Linked DNA regions of Saccharomyces cerevisiae S288C. The gene in region 2 interacts genetically with the main gene of each other region. Each region holds a gene or a part of one and is shown on either strand. Other genes may lie near its edges.

Region 1 (17,054 bases), on a different chromosome or scaffold from region 2:
AAGCAACGTGCGCAACAATGAAAGTCACTCGATGCATCCATTATTCAAAAAAAAGTTTTTTTTTTTTTTCCATACATCATCAGATGAAAAAATCTCGCTATGACGCACGCCAGTCAATATTCACTCAGTTCTTCCGAAAGGAAGCAGAAGAAAGTTCTCTATACTTGGAAATGTGTCAATGAAGATGTTATCAGATTCATTTTCTGCTAGCTACTATATTTCTACATAAGCAAGTAGTAATCTCTTTATTAATTACACGTGGTTTTGACTCATTGGCATATGTATATATTTGTGTTGTAGGTGCTCGTGAAAAAAAAAAGCTATTGATCATACTCATGCTCACGCAAGTAGGTAGCAACGATTTCACGATCTCTGCTCACCCATTGCGCCTTGGATCTAATAGTGTCTAAGGCTTGAGCCAGGGTTTGATCAAAACCTTTAGTGACCTTTCTACTATAGAACGCACTAATTTTTTCAAGGGCTTCAAAAGAGGTAAAATTAGTTAAACCCAATGTCAACACGCCACCCAACACAGGCGAGCCTGGCTGTAATCTCTTAGCAATTTCGTCCCAGTGTTCTTGCATCCAAGCCCATAACCTTTCAATACCCTTCTTATGAACTCTAATGCCTTGCATTGGGATGTAAAAATCTTGATTCAAAACTGTACCATCTAGCAGATAAGACAATGTCCTTTCTAAAAGTTCTTTGTCTTCAAATCTGCCCAAAGCTCTCAAAGCGATAATCTTTTCTTCTGACGAAACAGGGTTTTGATAGATGTTGAAAATCTTTTCGTAATTGTTTTCTCCGCCAAGTCTGGCAACGGTGTTGAAAACAACTGCCTTGAACAGTGCAGGTATGGCCTGTTTGTTCCCATTGGCGTATTCCTCAAACATTTCTACCGCAATCGATTGCATTTTTTCATTGCCAGAAGTGCATGCGGCACTGAAAAGGGTCACTTTTAAACGTTGGATAGCAAAGGAGTCGTCTTCGCCAATATTCCACCCCAATTCAGAAAGTTTGTTAAGTACTAGATCCAAAGTAAATTTATCTAGAGCATTCAATATATCCTCTGGTTCGAAGACCCAAGTAGATTTCAGAGCGGATAAACTATTAATGATTTGTTCCCAAACAACAAATGAATCCTCGTTTTTCCAATTAGAAATTAAATTCAAGAAGTTAGTAGTAGAGGTATAGCCAGATGCAGAAAGGGCTTTTGCATCTGCGACTAAGCCAACACGATCCTCTACGGATAATAAATTTGCCTGTTTGGATAGCTTAGCCCATCTTTCGTCAGAATAAGAGGTAATGAAAATACCAGATTGGTCACCATTAATCTTGAAGAACTCTTCATTCTTTAATTCGAAAGTAGCAGATTTTTCGTTCAATACCAATGTGTTATCGATACCTGTACTGTCTTTCAAAGCTAACAAAATGGGGTATATGGTTGTATCTTCCTCTTCTTTAACATCACCGGTACTTAAATAACGGTGTTGAGTTAATGTGATTTTGTTCTTGTGTTCCTTGACAGATAACACTGGAAAACCAACACGTTTTGTCCAGATGTTCATCACCGAACAAACGTCCTTGCCAGAGGCATCTGCTAAGGCGTCCCACAAATCTCCGGTCTTTGCATTACCGTATTTGAATTTATTCAGGTATTGGGACACACCTTTAATAAAAGTCTCTTCACCCAACCATTTGGAAATCATCCTCAATAAAGAAGATCCTTTAGAATAAGAAATAGCATCAAAAATTTGATTGATTTCGTCCGCATTATTAACGGGAACTTCAATTGGATGGGAAGATCTTAATGAATCTAAATTTAGAGCACGTTGTAAATTGTCAGTAACATATTGCTCCCAAACTTTCCATTCTGGTTGAAACTTGTTGCAAGAGTACCAAGACATCCAAGTGGCAAAACCTTCATTCAACCATAAGCCTTCCCACCAATCCATGGTGACCAAGTTGCCGAACCATTGGTGGGCTAGTTCATGCTGAATAACCTCAGCAACTCTTTGAATGCGATCTAAACTCGAATTTTCTATGTCTAATAACAAATCAATAACTCTATAAGTCACTAGCCCCCAGTTTTCCATAGCACCAGCAGAAAACTCATGAACTGCCACCATATCCATCTTTGGCAATGGATATTCTATGTTGAAGGTGTCCTCAAAGAATCTCAAGGTCCTAGCAGCTAAATTGGCTGCAAACTGACCAAATTTTTCGTCCCCTGGGGTAGAATAAACTCTTACTGGAATACGGAAATTATTGCTTTCCACGTATCTCAGGTCAGCTACAATAAATGCTACTAAGTACGTAGACATCTTTGGAGTCGTGTTAAAAGTTGTATATTTCTTACCCTCTTTGATTGTTTCATTCCTGACATCCATGTTGGACAAATGAGTCAGAAACGATTCAGAGACCAAAGTTACTGCAAAAGTCGCCTTCAAATTTGGTTCGTCAAAACAAGGAAAGGCTCTTCTAGCATCTGTGGCTTCCATCTGAGTAGTAGCCATGTACTTCGTCTCCCCTGTGACTTTATCCGTATACTTAGCCCTGTAAAATCCCGCCATCTGATCATTTAGAATACCGGAAAAGATAATTTCTAACTTCGCAGAAGGTCCTAGGTTTTCAAAAGTTCCATTAGGAAAGACAAGAGTAGCTTTTTGTTGGTTTTCGTTTTTGTTAACTTCAATGGCATTGACACCCTCAATACGTGCAGAATGGAAATCTATTTCTAAGTAATTTATTTGCACAGAGTTTATCGAATGATCATTAATCTGCAGGTCAATTTTTAATGACCCTTCAAACGTAAAAGCACGGAAATTAGGTTCTAGTGTAATGTCATAATGCAATGGGGTAACGTTGTTTGGCAGTACTTCACGGGACATGGTATTAGCTGAGAGGGCAATTTGGCTTGCTTGAACAGGAACCCTCAAAGAAAAATCACGAATTGAATAAGCTTCCCTGAAGATAATTCTAAATGATTAGCTAAGATTACTCATAAAGTCAAAAGTTTGATCGCTAACAAAAGGGAAAAAAACGGAAAAAAAATAAAAAAATGTGTCAAACTCCCACAGCCAAGTCCAAGAGTACGAAAAAAAACTTTCACAACGAGTTCAAAAAATGTGGGATGAAGACTCCCGTTTTTCACCGCCTAGAAAACAGCGTTTGCTGAGAAAAAAAATAAATCATCGAGAAGAAGTATGTCATCATAGGATGTTCCCATTGTAAGGTGATGTGTAACATACTCGAACAAAGAATGTATAGAGCTGAATATTTCTCCTTTAAATTTCAAAGAAAATGAGAAGGAAAATCTCAAACAGAAACTTCGTTCTTTTTCTCAAGTAAGCAAAAGCTTATTGAGACAAAGCGGAATAACTACGATATTAATAACGTTGATGAAGCTCGAACAAAGTTAGCGTCGGTTATGCTTGCCTATATAAAGATATATTTGCCTTACATTTTCGTTGAACGTAGAATGATTTTTGCTTTTAATAAATTTTTTGTTGTTCTTTCAGTGCTTCTTCAACTTTGATACGAAAGCAAGTGCATTAGTACAACAAGAACTGGCCACAACTATACTATACTCATTTTTTCTTGCCCGTGTTTTAAATGTTTTCATCCACAGCATTTGATGGGATGATTGGAAGTGAGACGTTCGAGAAAATCCATATTTTGAGTCAAGAATTCAGATAATATACTGAGATGATTAGGTATGGCTGGGTTCTACAAAAACACAAATATCCGGCTAGCAATGATCACTGAGCAAATTAAAGCGTTAACTCACTCATTATTGTAGCTTATGCGTTTCTCCTCCTCTCTTTTTTTCCTCGAACCGGAGTGGAAGATCCAATAACGTAATATTACTGATGTTGTTATTAAAGCTGGCAAAAATAACATGAGGCGTAAAACCGCACTGCGGTAAGATGAGGGTATAAGGTGGAGATCAGGCGAACAAGCTGTTCTAAATCATACATATGTACAATGAGAACGTGTAACGATCCAATGAGCGTTTCATGATGCCATTGTTTAATCAGAGTGATGAAAAAGAAATATTTGCGACCTTTTTTCGTTACATTGATCGTGAAATTTTAATCAAAGATAATATAAGGACGTGAGATATTTATCTTTTTACTTGAAATTAACAATAGAATTGCGCTAAGCGGAATAAGAGCTTTCGTAAACCTTTCTATTTGCACCATTGCGTCAACGTATAAAATGGTATGACCTTTACACAAACGCATGCTTATAATCTTATGTTTTTCATAGGGTGTAATTTGGTTGATGACGTAGTCTAAATTTGATGCTATCTGCAATTGAGGTACATATAAGAGGTCAATTTCGGGACCAACCCTTTTAATCGAAAAAAACGTAATTCACTAGGGCAAGGGAGAACTTAGCAGCTAATATCGTAAACCTTTCATACTAAAAAAATGCACTTACCATCAACAAAAAACTCAGGACCAATTTCCAAGCTTTTCTAGGTGATTGCCTATAACACAAAAAGATTCGCTCATACATGAGATTTTTACATGTAATAGCAATTTGTTCCGATCAGTTGAAGGTCATCAACGCACGGCAGGTACATCCACACCTATCACAAAGCCCTTCAATAATTCACCTACGTAAAGTTATACCGAAACATGCAAAATCCATGAAAAATTCTGTATGATAACGATCATATCCTTTTGTATTGGTGGTACGATGCTCAAAGATAGTTATTGTTGCACCTGAGGCAAAAGCGGAAATGAAAAATCCAGATGGGGCCAAAAGCAGAAGTATTGTGTACAACAATTGCTTCAGCAGTTTACCAAACCGTTTCCCAGCAATCATCAAAAGTTGCTTTAGCCACATTTCCGCAAGATATCTTTGTGGCTCAACGAAGAGGGCTATTCCAAATGCAATACAATACTAGCCGCTAGTGATCCATGCTTATAGGCAATTTGATTGATAACTGGCCGTTCTATTAAGGAGTCAATGCTAACCACATATAATGCATATAGGATTTGGCCTCTGCTGACCGTAATACTAGACAAGGAATATAAAACAACAACGTAACCCAGCATAAAAACGATATAAATAAAAAAAGAAACCAGATCATAAAGTTTGAGGGCACATCCCTCATGGTTTCAAAATCTCGTACATTGACTCAAACCTCGAGATCTTGTTTAAACGAACATAAGAACAGCGGTACCAAGTGACACATTGCGTACTGTGTAGTATGCGCCGTATATAACTTTTTTTTTCTGAAGGTACTTTGAATTACAATCTATTTTTTACAGTTCCTATGGCAGGGGTTGAAGATATTTGGGTCTGAACCATAGCAGGATTAGTGTTATAGTAGGTATGTGAATAGAAGCTAACAAAATGAGATGAACCTCATACAAAGTCGTAGAGAAAACTGCTAACAGAAGAGCTGCGCCTTGAAATCGTATCTCTAAGCTTATAATAAATTGAAAGGAAAAAATACGTGGTAAATGCAAGCGACCAAAAGGCTACGGCCCAACGCTAACCCGCCGATAGGTGCATAATCTAATTTACCTCCACCAGCAGGAGCCCTTTTTCTAAGTAATAAGCAAACCAGATAACTTACATCTTGCTGTAGGAAACAAAAGCCGGAATAATGGTTCACTCATATTCTTCGTGTGAAACACAGAAGAAATCCAATATTTGCTTCAGTATTTATCTCTAAAAATTGGTCCTACATTGGAAACCATAAACCAATTATAACCGGTGTACGAATTGTAAGCTAGTTCTGGAAATGTCATGTTGCGCAGGTAAAAGTGGAGCTGAATTGTATATCTGTTTTGATCATTATTATCCCTCTGGGTGAGTGGAAATATCAATAAAATGCAATGGCACATTTAATATCCTTCTCTTAATTCCGTGATTTATAACATCTTGATGCCAGAAACACCTTTCGGATCCGGCAATAAAGCGGAGATTAGCACGCTTTTCGCCGGTCCTACGGATTTAGTGTTGGCTATTGTTGAGATTAGTAATACGCAGAGAATTTTTCTACCGGTGAAGCGACCATCTCAGATTATTAGGTCAAGCAATAACACTTGTTATTAGATGCGTTACGTTCACCTGGACCCTATATAAAGGCATATTTGCCTTACATTTGGTGTATGGTATCACCTTGTATACTAAGAACATATATATGCAGATATAACAACAGGATATGGTTGCAGAATTTCAAATAGCGAGTGCACAGTCATCGGCATTGACATCTACTGAAGAAGAGCATTGTTCAATAAACTCAGACAAAGCCGCAAAACTGGATCTGGAATTGACCAGTGAACGAAAAAATGACGGCAAACAATCGCATGAAGTGACCTTCAACGAGGACATCGCGGACCCAGAAGATATAGCACGGCATATGAGCACCGCCCGCCGGTATTATATTTCCTCGTTAATTACATTCACATCGATGGTAATTACGATGATCTCGTCCAGCTGGACGCTTCCTTCAACGCACATAATCGAACACTTTCATATTTCGCACGAAGTCAGCACTCTGGGAATTACGCTTTATGTGTTTGGGCTCGGTATAGGACCTTTATTTCTGTCTCCACTAAGTGAACTATATGGACGAAGGATCACATTTTTATACGCCCTTACGCTCAGTATCATATGGCAGTGTTTGACCATTTGGTCCAAGACCATTACGGGTGTCATGTTTGGCAGATTTCTATCCGGGTTTTTTGGTTCAGCCTTTCTAAGTGTGGCTGGCGGCGCCATTGCCGATATATTCGACAAAGACCAAATTGGTATTCCTATGGCAATATACACTACATCGGCCTTTTTGGGGCCCTCTTTAGGACCAATCATTGGTGGAGCCTTATACCATCAAAGTTATAAATGGACATTTATCACACTTCTCATCACTTCTGGATGTTGTCTCGTTATGATCATCTTTACCATACCTGAAACCTACAAACCAATGCTGTTAATACGTAAAGCTAAGAGATTGAGGAAAGAGAAAAATGATCAACGGTATTATGCTGTCCTGGAAGTCACCCGCGAACAGACTTCCTTACTTTCCGCAATCTTTCTCTCAACCAAAAGACCCTTTGGCCTGTTACTTCGAGACCGAATGATGGGTGTGCTTTGCTTCTATACTGGATTGGAACTTGCCATAATATATTTATATTTCGTAGCGTTTCCTTATGTGTTCAAGAAACTTTACAACTTTGGGCCCATGGAGATTGCATGCTCCTATATCGGTATTATGGTCGGCATGATACTCTCGGCTCCTACTTGCTTGTTATTCCAAAAAACGTTTGAGTGGAGAGTCAAAAGAAATAATGGCGTCAAGACTCCCGAAATGAGATTCGAGCCTCTGTTCTACGGCGCCTTTTTGACCCCAGTTGGGCTCTTCATTTTTGCATTCACCTGCTACAAGCATGTCCATTGGATTGCACCAATTATAGGCAGTGCAATTTTCGGTTCAGGTGTTTATTTCGTCTTTACCGGTGTTTTTGCGTATACAGTGGATGCCTATAGAAGATATGCAGCTTCTGGAATGGCTTGTAACACATTTGTGAGATGCATAATGGCCGGTGTCTTCCCTCTTTTCGGACTCCAGATGTACAAGTCAATGGGAGTGAATTGGGCCGGCTTTCTCTTGGCAATGGTGACCGTAGCGATGATTCCTGTCCCATTTCTGTTTACCAAATACGGTGCCCGACTGAGAGCCAAGTCGCCGTATGCATGGGATGATTGATTTTTTTGCATATTTTTTCCTTTGGATGTTGCATAATCTTTTCCCGCTTACGTCATTGGTGATAGATTGTTTCGGATCTTCAAAAGGCAACACGCATAGGCCAAAGAAAAAAGAAATTTTGCATTTTTTCATTTTTGCATATTCTCGCATGTTTTCTTTCTTTTTCTCTAGTTTTCGAATGTTTTTGGCTGCAATGTATATTGTATATAAACCATAAAGGTGCAAAATGCCAGATGTACGCGGCCAATCTTAATTTTCTAGTAAAAGTAGCAGCTAAATCTGAAACTCTCTAGCTTGTAATAAACGAAGGATGACTGTACAAATTCCAAAATTATTATTTTTACACGGCTTCTTGCAAAACGGTAAAGTTTTCTCCGAAAAATCATCTGGTATTAGAAAATTATTGAAGAAGGCTAATGTCCAATGTGACTATATTGATGCACCAGTCCTTTTAGAAAAGAAGGACTTGCCATTTGAAATGGATGATGAAAAATGGCAAGCCACCCTAGATGCGGATGTTAACAGAGCCTGGTTCTATCACAGCGAAATCTCTCACGAATTGGATATCTCAGAAGGTTTGAAGTCTGTTGTTGATCACATCAAGGCCAATGGCCCATACGACGGCATTGTCGGTTTCTCTCAAGGTGCCGCATTGTCCTCTATCATCACCAACAAGATCTCAGAGTTAGTTCCAGACCATCCACAATTCAAGGTAAGTGTAGTCATTTCCGGCTATTCCTTCACCGAGCCAGACCCAGAACATCCTGGAGAATTGAGAATAACCGAAAAATTCAGAGACTCATTTGCGGTAAAACCAGACATGAAGACCAAGATGATCTTCATCTATGGTGCTTCTGACCAAGCCGTCCCATCCGTCAGATCCAAGTACCTGTACGATATTTATTTGAAGGCGCAAAATGGTAATAAGGAAAAGGTGTTGGCTTACGAACACCCTGGTGGACATATGGTTCCAAACAAGAAGGACATTATCAGACCAATTGTTGAACAAATAACCTCTTCCTTACAAGAAGCTTCTGAATAAATCGTAGGTTGTTGCTTACCTGCTTTCTAGCTTTTTACTATCACACGCAGGGTGTGTGGAGTGAAATGCTGATCGAGTATGTATATATACATATAAGTACTTTGTATAGAATGAACCACAAGTTTGTAGCATCCTTTCTCTTCTCTTCCATCCTGCGTGCTGCTAACCCCGCCCGGCGCGAAAAATCCACCCGGGGTGCTTTAGCGTGGCTTACGAAGACCTTTTTAAACATACTTATACTCTTTCTCGAAGGAAGAAAATAATGCAGAAGAGAAACAGCAGAAAAAAAAGAAATCATATTAAATTTCAGAATCAGTCTCCTTTTGCTTCTAGTCATTTAACCATCAAACGCGTTTAACCGTTTAGAAAACCCTCTTCAACAACTATTTGTTTTGATACTAATATTAGCACATCTCTATTGCCATTTAACCACTAATTTTCCGTATAGCGTTTATGTTTGATGACGTCCCAAGAATATGAACCTATTCAATGGAGCGATGAATCCCAAACAAATAATGATAGTGTCAACGATGCGTATGCCGACGTGAATACCACTCATGAGTCGCGTCGAAGAACAACTTTGCAGCCAAACTCAACATCCCAGAGCATGATCGGAACATTGAGAAAATATGCTAGGTTCATCGGTCCTGGTTTGATGGTATCTGTATCGTACATGGATCCTGGTAACTATAGTACAGCTGTAGCAGCGGGTTCTGCTCATCGGTACAAGCTTTTATTTTCTGTCTTAGTTTCTAATTTCATGGCTGCTTTTTGGCAGTACCTCTGCGCCAGATTGGGTGCTGTCACTGGCCTAGATCTGGCACAAAATTGTAAGAAACATTTGCCCTTTGGACTTAACATTACTCTTTATATTCTGGCGGAGATGGCAATTATTGCCACAGATCTGGCAGAAGTGGTAGGAACCGCTATTTCTTTGAATATCCTTTTCCATATACCTCTCGCCCTAGGTGTGATACTTACTGTGGTAGACGTTTTAATTGTTCTGCTAGCTTACAAACCTAACGGTTCCATGAAGGGTATCAGAATATTTGAAGCTTTTGTTTCTTTATTGGTGGTTCTTACCGTAGTTTGCTTTACTGTTGAACTGTTTTATGCCAAACTGGGACCTGCCAAAGAAATATTTTCTGGGTTCTTACCCAGTAAAGCCGTTTTTGAAGGTGATGGGTTATACTTAAGTCTGGCAATTCTGGGCGCCACGGTAATGCCTCATTCATTATATTTGGGGTCAGGTGTGGTTCAACCAAGATTAAGAGAGTATGATATCAAAAACGGACATTACTTGCCAGACGCGAATGATATGGATAACAATCACGATAATTACAGGCCATCCTATGAGGCCATCAGTGAAACTCTGCACTTTACTATAACGGAATTACTGATCTCGCTGTTCACGGTGGCATTATTTGTCAATTGTGCCATTCTTATCGTGTCTGGCGCTACACTATACGGGTCCACTCAAAATGCTGAGGAAGCTGACTTATTTTCTATTTACAACTTACTCTGTAGTACTCTTTCCAAGGGAGCGGGAACGGTATTCGTGCTGGCATTGTTGTTTTCAGGACAGAGTGCCGGTATCGTGTGTACGTTGAGTGGACAAATGGTTAGTGAAGGGTTCTTAAATTGGACTGTTTCTCCGGCATTGAGAAGATCCGCCACAAGAGCGGTAGCCATCACGCCTTGTTTGATTTTAGTGCTTGTAGCTGGACGTAGCGGCCTCTCTGGTGCACTAAATGCTTCCCAAGTGGTACTTTCTCTCTTGCTGCCTTTTGTTTCTGCACCTTTACTTTACTTCACTTCAAGCAAGAAGATTATGCGTGTACAGCTTAACCGTACCAAAGAACTTTCAAGAACTACAGACAAAAAACCCGTGGCCGACCGAACCGAAGATGATGAGACCATTGAGCTCGAAGAAATGGGCATAGGCAGCAGCTCACAGGAGCGCAGCTTAGTTTCTCCTGCTCCAGAATACAAAGACATGAGCAATGGAATGATCGTCACCGTGCTCGCAATCATAGTATGGTTGATTATCTCCGGACTGAACTTTTATATGTTACTGGGCTTTACTACGGGCAAAGAAGTACACCTCTAATATAACAATTCTTTAGACTAGTATAAGTATACATTTTATCCAAGAATAATAACAGAAAATTCCAATCAAAAAGTTGGTGTTAGGCTATACTGATGGCCGTATCGCTCCATACGAGCCAATCAGGGCCCCGCGCGTTATTTCCGCCGCTTACAGCTTTCTTTGAATCTCCCTATGAAAAGGGACCTAATTGGTCCGGTCAAAGCATTAATAAAGATCAACAATTGCTCTTGCTTATCAAGGTGCCAGATCTCAAGGTTACCTCATTTCTTTACATTTCATCCACATTTTAGCACACTTATTTATTATTACAATTTGAAAAATTGTATCACTTCTGAGACTTAGTAGCGGAGATAAACAGCCGAACAATTGTATTTGACACATAAACTAATAAATATACAACAATGTTATCAAGGGCCATATTCAGAAATCCAGTTATAAATAGAACTTTATTGAGAGCCAGACCTGGTGCTTATCATGCAACTAGATTGACTAAAAATACGTTTATTCAAAGTAGGAAGTATTCTGACGCACATGATGAAGAAACCTTTGAGGAATTCACCGCAAGATACGAAAAGGAGTTTGATGAAGCCTATGATTTGTTTGAAGTGCAAAGAGTGCTCAACAACTGTTTTTCCTATGATTTAGTTCCTGCTCCTGCTGTTATTGAAAAAGCTTTGAGGGCTGCCAGAAGAGTCAATGACTTACCTACCGCAATTAGAGTATTTGAGGCTTTGAAATACAAGGTGGAGAATGAAGACCAATACAAGGCCTACTTGGATGAATTGAAGGATGTCAGACAAGAATTGGGCGTTCCCTTAAAGGAAGAGCTATTTCCAAGCTCTTCTTAATAATAAGGAAAAAGCTACCACACAACGTCTGTAATTTGTTGTCCTTTTTTTATTTGTGGAAAATTCCTCAATTTGAAATAAGATTCGTATTTATTTTGTAAAACGATTTTAGTTTTTATTTTTTTTTTTTCTTCCCTTTTACCTTATTATTTGTTTTACCCTTTATGGATATTCATCCACTCAGAAACTAATATATCAAAATCAACGATAAGATCACAAGAGGTGAAATAAGAAAAGTAAAAGAAAAATATTTAAATTTAACCATTATGATTTCCACTTTGTTTTCTCTACTCTATTACTTGAACAAACTTTATTTTTGGTAATGAGGGCTGGTCACAGATTACCTTTAATATCCTTTGTTAGTAGCTTTTTTGTGTTCTATTTCAGGAAAGAAGAATGGGAAAAATAATAAAACAATAAATAACTATATAAAAAACAAAAACCTAGAATATACCATTAAAGAATTACTATTCTATTCTGTGCTTCACCGTTGCGTCAATAAATGTGAAGTTGATGTCACTTCATACTAAAAAAATTAAAGACAATTTCCTGAAAAAAATTTTTCCACTGGAGCTCATCGCAAATTTTGAAAAGTAACAAAAAGCGTTTGTATACTGCATAAAGAATAGTGTCTGTTTTATAAGAAATATTAGACAGCAGGCAGATAAACCTACGTTCCAGACTATAAAGTATAAAATGGCTAAAAAGAGTAACTCAAAGAAATCTACGCCTGTAAGTACACCAAGCAAAGAAAAGAAGAAGGTTATTGAAAAGAAATCTTCCACAGCCATTCCTAGGGAAAGAGTTATTAAAGCTGTCAACGAGCTTATAAAATTCACTTCCAAGCCACAAGATGAAAATAATGAAGAAGGAAATAACGGTAAGAAAAACCTATTGGAAGATGATGAAGAAGAATTGAAGAAAGATCTGCAATTAATCGTAGTAAATAATAAATCATTCACCGGTACTTCCAAATCATTCAAATTGAAATTACTAAATGTCAAACATTCGTTTTACAAGCCTTGGAAAGAAGCCAGTGCAACAGCGGTTAAGGATTTCAAAGTTTTATTAATTTTGAAGGATTCTGATATTAAGAAAGTTTCAGAAGATGATTTATTTGATCAATTAGATTCAGAAGGAATCAAGGTTGATGAAATCATTTGCGGGAAAGACTTAAAGACCGTTTACAAGGCATATGAGGCTAGAAACGCTTTTATATCTCAGTTTTCTTTGATTTTGGCTGACGACAGTATAGTTACATCTTTGCCAAAACTTATGGGAGGCAAAGCCTACAACAAAGTAGAAACTACTCCTATATCAATTAGAACACATGCAAATAAGGAATTTTCCTTGACCACTTTGACGAACAATATCAAAAAGGTTTACATGAATCAGTTGCCCGTTAAACTTCCAAGAGGTACCACGTTGAATGTCCATTTGGGTAATTTAGAATGGTTAAGGCCAGAAGAGTTTGTAGATAACGTTGAATTAATTTCTGAACAGTTAATCAAAGCATACCAAATCAGATCCATTTTTATCAAGACCAATAGGTCGCCCGTATTGCCATTATACTATAACCAGGACGTTCTTGATGAACTTGAAGCTAAAAAGGACAAAATCGAAGAAACCCACGAAGATGACATGGTCACCATTGATGGTGTACAAGTTCATTTGTCTACCTTCAACAAGGGTTTGATGGAAATCGCCAATCCTTCCGAATTGGGTTCAATTTTCTCTAAACAAATTAACAATGCAAAAAAGAGATCTTCTAGCGAGCTTGAAAAAGAATCTAGCGAGTCAGAAGCTGTCAAGAAGGCTAAAAGTTAATTTGTTTCCTCCTTATCTATCTTTTCTCTCATTTTTTTCTTGTGAAGAAAAAAATTTGAATTTCATAGAGTGCGGTGCATATGTATATATCTATATATGTTTGAAGTGTATATTAAAAATAAAGTCATTATTTGAATATTGGTTTCTCGGTCTAAGAGCTTATACGTTTTAGACTGATCTGTTGTACTATCCGCTTCAAATAAATAGATCATTGAAAGTGACGGGGATAACAGCATTTTACCTTTAAAAGACGTTCTCATAATACATTTTAGGATTAATACATATGCTTTTTTTTTATTCGAAATCTGGGGATTCTATACAGAGTTGTAAGTTAGGCAAACTAGAATTTGGTAATAATATTTTATTCTTGGGGCGACATATGGAGATACTTTATTTCCTTTTCTTAATTATTAACGTATACCTATAAATTAACAAAGTATCTAAACAAAATACATAAGTGTACTCAAACTGAGTAGAATCGTCGATTAAACTTCCTTCTCCTTTTAAAAATTAAAAACAGCAAATAGTTAGATGAATATATTAAAGACTATTCGTTTCATTTCCCAGAGCAGCATGACTTCTTGGTTTCTTCAGACTTGTTACCGCAGGGGCATTTGTCGTCGCTGTTACACCCCGTTGGGCAGCTACATGATTTTTGGCATTGTTCATTATTTTTGCAGCTACCACATTGGCATTGGCACTCATGACCTTCATTTTGGAAGTTAATTAATTCGCTGAACATTTTATGTGATGATTGATTGATTGATTGTACAGTTTGTTTTTCTTAATATCTATTTCGATGACTTCTATATGATATTGCACTAACAAGAAGATATTATAATGCAATTGATACAAGACAAGGAGTTATTTGCTTCTCTTTTATATGATTCTGACAATCCATATTGCGTTGGTAGTCTTTTTTGCTGGAACGGTTCAGCGGAAAAGACGCATCGCTCTTTTTGCTTCTAGAAGAAATGCCAGCAAAAGAATCTCTTGACAGTGACTGACAGCAAAAATGTCTTTTTCTAACTAGTAACAAGGCTAAGATATCAGCCTGAAATAAAGGGTGGTGAAGTAATAATTAAATCATCCGTATAAACCTATACACATATATGAGGAAAAATAATACAAAAGTGTTTTAAATACAGATACATACATGAACATATGCACGTATAGCGCCCAAATGTCGGTAATGGGATCGGCTTACTAATTATAAAATGCATCATAGAAATCGTTGAAGTTTGCCGTAGTAATACCCAGATTATCAGATTCCAAATCCTTGTCAATAATTATACTCCTTTGGACAACTTCTCTTTCCATTAAAAAATCTGAAATCTCCTTAAATTTTAAATAGATTCTGTTCAGTTCACTAACGGGGAATTTCAAGAGAACATTTTTGTTCTTCGCCGACTGACTATAATCTGTAACATTATTGTTATCAGAGTTTCTCGCAAAATTTTGTTTTTTCTTGCTAAATCTCAGCATATATTTAATCAGATTCAAAACCTTGTTGAAACCTTTAATAGATTTGAAACTTCCGTTGCTATTCATTTCATCTCGTAAAAAGGATACGATAATTTCTATTTTTTTTAAAATTTCCAAAATCTTGTCATGAATCAATAGCAATTGAACATTAATCTCCTCATTTGAAAGATTTTTGTAAAATTCGTCATATAATATTACTTCACAACGTTGGAAAATAGCAAATGTGATTGCTATAAAATTCTGTAAGATTTCAATAAAATGATTTGCGAATAAAAATTCTTTACCATTAGAATGAAAGCGATTATTGCCGCTTGAAAATGACTTTATCGACTTTATGGGGAAGATAAAATTAAATGTTATTGAGTAAAAAATGTGCATATTAGAAATAATTTTCATCAGATCCTTTGCACATCTTTCAGAGTTCGAGGTCTTATTGTTGTTAGAAGAATGTTGAACTGCCATGGACAAAGAGGATTCGTTTTGAACAAAAAGGAAAAAATTTGTATAAACAATGGTATTGATAAAATTTAAAGTGTCTTTCCATTCTTTTCTGACTTCGTTGTCATGAAAATATAAGTCTACTGTATTACTCACGCCCATAGTCAAGGTTTCTAACAGACTTTCAATTTTGGTTAAATTTACTGGCAAGTAGAAAGGAACACCTTGCAGAATATTTATCAATTTTGCTTGCGTTTCCAGTAATTTTAAATCGTTAGCAATTAAAGGAATGTCGTTCGTATCAATAGAGGCAGGTATCGGAGATAGGTTTTCAGCAGCGGGTACCATGAATAGCTTTTTTTTTTTTTTTTATTCGAAATCTGGGGATTCTATACAGAGTTGTAAGTTAGGCAAACTAGAATTTGGTAATAATATTTTATTCTTGGGGCGACATATGGAGATACTTTATTTCCTTTTCTTAATTATTAACGTATACCTATAAATTAACAAAGTATCTAAACAAAATACATAAGTGTACTCAAACTGAGTAGAATCGTCGATTAAACTTCCTTCTCCTTTTAAAAATTAAAAACAGCAAATAGTTAGATGAATATATTAAAGACTATTCGTTTCATTTCCCAGAGCAGCATGACTTCTTGGTTTCTTCAGACTTGTTACCGCAGGGGCATTTGTCGTCGCTGTTACACCCCGTTGGGCAGCTACATGATTTTTGGCATTGTTCATTATTTTTGCAGCTACCACATTGGCATTGGCACTCATGACCTTCATTTTGGAAGTTAATTAATTCGCTGAACATTTTATGTGATGATTGATTGATTGATTGTACAGTTTGTTTTTCTTAATATCTATTTCGATGACTTCTATATGATATTGCACTAACAAGAAGATATTATAATGCAATTGATACAAGACAAGGAGTTATTTGCTTCTCTTTTATATGATTCTGACAATCCATATTGCGTTGGTAGTCTTTTTTGCTGGAACGGTTCAGCGGAAAAGACGCATCGCTCTTTTTGCTTCTAGAAGAAATGCCAGCAAAAGAATCTCTTGACAGTGACTGACAGCAAAAATGTCTTTTTCTAACTAGTAACAAGGCTAAGATATCAGCCTGAAATAAAGGGTGGTGAAGTAATAATTAAATCATCCGTATAAACCTATACACATATATGAGGAAAAATAATACAAAAGTGTTTTAAATACAGATACATACATGAACATATGCACGTATAGCGCCCAAATGTCGGTAATGGGATCGGCTTACTAATTATAAAATGCATCATAGAAATCGTTGAAGTTTGCCGTAGTAATACCCAGATTATCAGATTCCAAATCCTTGTCAATAATTATACTCCTTTGGACAACTTCTCTTTCCATTAAAAAATCTGAAATCTCCTTAAATTTTAAATAGATTCTGTTCAGTTCACTAACGGGGAATTTCAAGAGAACATTTTTGTTCTTCGCCGACTGACTATAATCTGTAACATTATTGTTATCAGAGTTTCTCGCAAAATTTTGTTTTTTCTTGCTAAATCTCAGCATATATTTAATCAG
Region 2 (5,097 bases):
GAGCCCATCAGTTATGTAACGAAGGTTACCAGATATATTTTGATGGATTGGTTACTACTGTATGGTCGGCGCCAAACTATTGTTATCGGTGCGGCAATAAAGCATCTATTCTGGAGCTGTATAGTAAAGATCAATTCTACTTCAACGTTTTCGAAGAGGCACCTGAAAATAAACTGTTGAAAGAGAACAGTATGAACGACAATGCCTTAGAAGATAGCATATCTAATCCGGTAGCCAACAGGAAATTGATTGCAGATTATTTCGAAGACGACTCTGCCTCCGCAGATGGCTCCACGGACCCTGAAATGTACATATTTTCAGATGTATACCAAGCCAGATCTGCTTCTAACAGACATGTTGATTACTTCTTGTAGCTTACTAAACAATAGAAAAGCATTATAGAGACAACGCCATCTTATTATTTCTACATATTCTATCTCTCTCGGTTGCAAATGTATGTATTGTGTATTTAGATCAAAAAAAAAAAAACAGCGCATTTTCTACAGGTAATACAGCTCCAAATTTGTCTGATCATGTACCTCATAATCTTCCAGAGAGATATGGTCTTTTAAAACACTTCCACCCTTCTGCAACACAATTTTGTTTGGTTGGGTGCCAATTTGCAAGGACAATACTTTTTTGAAATCACCTACACTATCTTCAGCAAGGCACTTCACTCTGACTTTTTTGCCTAATCGGTCATTCACAACTACCTCAATCATTTTCAGAGTATTTATTTGCAATCTAAGCTTTGCCACCGCTCCTCTTTCTCAATCTTTTCCTCTCCCTCCTCATCTCTCTCAGCCAAAACCGCGAATATATAAAAACAAGCAAGTCTCCCGTAGAACTTTTACACGATGACCTTTCGAGATTTCACAAGGGGGATAAAGGAATGCTGTCCGATACAATTGACACAAAGCAACAACAGCAACAGCTTCATGTCCTGTTCATAGACTCTTATGATTCATTCACCTACAATGTAGTGAGACTAATTGAACAACAAACTGATATCTCACCGGGAGTCAACGCCGTGCACGTGACGACGGTACATAGTGATACGTTCCAATCTATGGATCAGCTATTGCCACTTTTGCCGCTTTTTGATGCTATCGTTGTTGGCCCAGGACCTGGGAATCCCAACAATGGTGCACAAGATATGGGTATAATATCTGAGCTTTTCGAGAATGCCAATGGAAAGTTAGATGAAGTTCCAATATTGGGTATATGTCTTGGGTTCCAAGCAATGTGCTTGGCTCAAGGTGCTGATGTCAGTGAGCTAAATACTATCAAGCATGGGCAAGTGTATGAAATGCATTTAAACGATGCAGCCAGAGCTTGTGGCCTTTTTTCTGGTTATCCCGATACGTTCAAATCTACGAGGTACCATTCATTGCATGTCAATGCCGAAGGCATTGACACCCTTTTGCCCTTATGCACAACCGAAGATGAGAACGGTATTCTTTTGATGAGTGCTCAAACGAAAAATAAGCCATGGTTTGGCGTACAGTACCACCCGGAGTCATGTTGTTCAGAATTGGGGGGGCTGTTAGTCAGTAACTTTCTCAAGTTGAGTTTCATAAATAACGTGAAGACAGGAAGGTGGGAAAAGAAGAAACTTAATGGAGAGTTTTCCGATATCCTATCTCGATTGGATAGGACTATTGATAGAGACCCCATATACAAGGTAAAAGAGAAATATCCGAAGGGCGAGGACACAACTTACGTTAAGCAGTTCGAGGTCTCTGAAGACCCGAAATTGACATTTGAAATTTGCAACATCATACGAGAAGAAAAATTTGTCATGTCATCTTCTGTGATTAGTGAAAATACGGGTGAATGGTCTATCATTGCTTTACCAAACTCCGCATCCCAGGTATTCACTCATTATGGAGCTATGAAAAAGACTACAGTTCATTATTGGCAAGATAGTGAAATTAGTTACACCTTGTTGAAAAAGTGTCTAGATGGTCAAGATTCGGATTTGCCTGGCTCCCTTGAGGTAATACATGAAGATAAATCCCAATTTTGGATCACTTTGGGTAAATTTATGGAGAATAAAATAATCGATAACCACAGAGAAATACCTTTTATTGGAGGTCTTGTTGGCATTTTAGGTTATGAAATAGGTCAGTACATTGCATGCGGCCGTTGCAATGATGATGAGAATTCCCTTGTTCCCGACGCCAAACTAGTTTTTATCAACAATAGTATAGTCATTAATCACAAGCAAGGGAAGCTTTATTGTATTTCTCTGGATAATACATTTCCAGTGGCATTAGAACAATCATTAAGGGACAGTTTTGTTAGAAAGAAGAATATTAAGCAATCCCTGTCCTGGCCCAAGTATCTTCCAGAGGAGATAGACTTCATTATAACTATGCCCGATAAACTTGACTACGCTAAGGCGTTTAAGAAATGTCAGGATTATATGCATAAGGGTGATTCTTATGAAATGTGTCTCACAACGCAAACCAAAGTTGTACCATCTGCGGTGATAGAACCCTGGAGGATTTTCCAGACCTTGGTACAAAGAAACCCGGCTCCATTTTCAAGTTTTTTTGAGTTTAAAGACATTATTCCCCGCCAAGATGAAACGCCTCCAGTTTTGTGCTTCTTAAGTACTTCTCCAGAAAGGTTTTTGAAGTGGGATGCAGACACATGCGAGCTACGTCCCATCAAGGGAACTGTGAAAAAAGGACCGCAAATGAACTTGGCAAAAGCCACACGAATCCTGAAGACACCAAAAGAATTTGGTGAGAACTTAATGATTTTGGACTTAATCAGAAATGACCTTTACGAGTTGGTTCCTGACGTTCGGGTGGAGGAGTTCATGTCCGTGCAAGAATATGCCACCGTTTACCAACTCGTTAGCGTCGTAAAGGCACATGGATTGACCTCTGCCAGTAAGAAGACGAGATATTCAGGCATTGATGTCCTTAAACACTCGCTTCCTCCGGGATCTATGACGGGAGCCCCCAAGAAGATTACTGTGCAATTATTGCAGGACAAGATAGAAAGCAAGCTAAACAAACATGTCAATGGTGGAGCACGTGGTGTTTACAGCGGTGTCACGGGATATTGGTCTGTGAATTCCAACGGAGATTGGTCTGTTAACATTAGATGTATGTATTCCTACAACGGCGGAACCAGCTGGCAACTCGGTGCAGGGGGGGCCATAACAGTCTTAAGCACACTAGATGGCGAACTAGAGGAAATGTACAACAAGTTGGAGAGCAACTTACAAATTTTCATGTAGATATTTGTATATTATTAGATATGTATGCAAACATTTTCTTTAGAATAATATACTATTCTTGTACGATGCAGAATTTTTTTTTTTTTTCGCTTTAGGAAAATGACGTTTTGTGCCGTGGAAAACCCTGGAAAAGGATATTGGAAAAAAGTTAAAGCATGGTCATTTAGGGAAGACTTTCCTTCCAATTTACTTATCAATAGGTTATAATGTATGCTTGACGGAGCAGAATTCTTTCAAACCATAAGATAATAGATATTATAACATTTTAGTACATAAAAGAGGCCCGAGAAAATAGATTTTAACTGGAATAATTTTTTGCAAGATGACAACAACCGTACCTAAAGTGTTTGCATTCCATGAATTTGCAGGAGTAGCTGAGGCAGTTGCCGATCATGTTATTCACGCACAAAACTCTGCCCTTAAGAAGGGCAAAGTCTCAAGGTCCACACAGATGTCCGGAACGAGCCTTAACGGAAATGGTAACACAGAATCCAAAACGATGGAGAGAGTAAATTCTGTAAGGAGTAATGCCTCCAGCCGTGGTGGTAGTGAAGACGGCGCCACTAAGAAATTGAAAAAGGAGAAAGAAAGGCGCTTCAAGATTGCGTTGTCCGGTGGTTCGTTAATCCAAGTGTTGCACGAAGGATTGTTGAAAAGAGACGACGTTCAATGGGGTAAATGGGACATTTACTTTGCTGATGAAAGACTAGTGCCCTTTAGCTCCAGTGAAAGCAATTACGGTCTTGCTAAGAGAAAAATATTCGATTTAATAGATACGGAGAAGTACGGAACTCCGAAAATTTATCACATTGATGAGTCATTGATTAACGACCCTCAAGAGTGTGCAGATAACTATGAGAAAATTCTAATTAAAGGATTTGCCGGTAGAGATTCTGTGAAACTACCGATGTTTGATCTGTTTCTGCTTGGCTGCGCTCCTGACGGTCACATAGCCTCGTTATTCCCCAATTTTCAAGAGAATCTACGTGAAAATCTGGCATGGGTCATACCTGTAGAAAATGCACCCAGCGGACCTTCGAATAGGATTTCACTGACCATCCCAGTGATTTGTCACTCTCATAGAGTCACCTTTGTTGTAGAGGGCGCCACAAAGGCGCCTGTAATCAAGACAATAATGGAAAGGCCTGAAAAGGGATTGCCTAGTAGTATTGTCAATGAGGGCGCCGCCGGTCGTGTTTCATGGTTTGTAGACGACGATGCTTTGAAAGATGTCTTTGTAATTAAGAAGAAGTACAAGTTTTATGATGATGAGAATTTGACTGAGTAGGTGTTTAATTTTTTGGGTTCTTTTTCTTTCTGATGATAATGACAACTAATGACAATACTATGATTTAACCTTAACCATTTTCTTTTTTTAGCTCTTTCTATCCCCACCCTTCCCTTTAGTAATCGCAATAAATCACCCTATGTTTTTGAATTTTCTCGAGAAGTAACTTTATATAAAACAAGTCATCTTAGTGACGTAGTGTGCATATATAACATACAACATATATAATATATACAATAACCCTTTAGAAAAAAATAATAACAACCACAGTGGATATTTCCCTTTTGGACCTATGGCTTCCGCTAAGAGAAAAGCATGCTTTTAAGTTTTCTTTTCTTTCAAGGAGATTATTTGGTCTTAAGCGAAGTGAGAGATTGAAACAAAATGTTAATTACAGAGTTTACGAAGAATCAGTTTGCAAGACCACCTTATTCGTATGGCATTATCAAGCTTTGTGTGTAGACTATCCACACAAACATGATTCAACATACATAGCAGTGGTAGGTATACAACGGATATAAAAACCTTAACTCTACGTGTAGAAAATGTAAAA

The links.
Region 1: mutations in HUB1 (region 2) and CUP1-1 impair growth when combined (synthetic growth defect), as found in Saccharomyces cerevisiae (one study listed by BioGRID).

Annotation. Positions count from the first base shown.
Region 1 is NC_001140.6:198,420-215,473, forward strand, and holds CUP1-1 (metallothionein CUP1-1), read right to left. Parts: upstream 14,302-17,054; coding exon 14,116-14,301; downstream 1-14,115. Other genes in the region: AAP1 (arginine/alanine aminopeptidase), read right to left, coding at 321-2,891; YHK8 (Yhk8p), read left to right, coding at 6,188-7,732; FSH1 (putative serine hydrolase), read left to right, coding at 8,043-8,774; divalent metal ion transporter SMF2, read left to right, coding at 9,235-10,884; YHR050W-A (uncharacterized protein), read left to right, coding at 11,056-11,226; COX6 (cytochrome c oxidase subunit VI), read left to right, coding at 11,286-11,732; CIC1 (Cic1p), read left to right, coding at 12,429-13,559; YHR052C-B (uncharacterized protein), read right to left, coding at 14,100-14,273; YHR054C (uncharacterized protein), read right to left, coding at 14,766-15,830; YHR054C-B (uncharacterized protein), read right to left, coding at 16,098-16,271; and 2 more. UniProt on the Saccharomyces cerevisiae protein: Protects the cell against copper toxicity by tightly chelating copper ions. May also act as a depository for copper designated for the effective transfer into the apo forms of copper proteins.
Region 2 is NC_001146.8:686,743-691,839, forward strand, and holds HUB1 (ubiquitin-like protein HUB1), read right to left. Parts: upstream 723-5,097; coding exon 501-722; downstream 1-500. Other genes in the region: putative serine/threonine-protein kinase PPG1, read left to right, coding at 1-374; ABZ1 (4-amino-4-deoxychorismate synthase), read left to right, coding at 893-3,256; SOL1 (Sol1p), read left to right, coding at 3,579-4,544. UniProt on the Saccharomyces cerevisiae protein: Forms conjugate with SPH1 and HBT1. Involved in morphogenesis.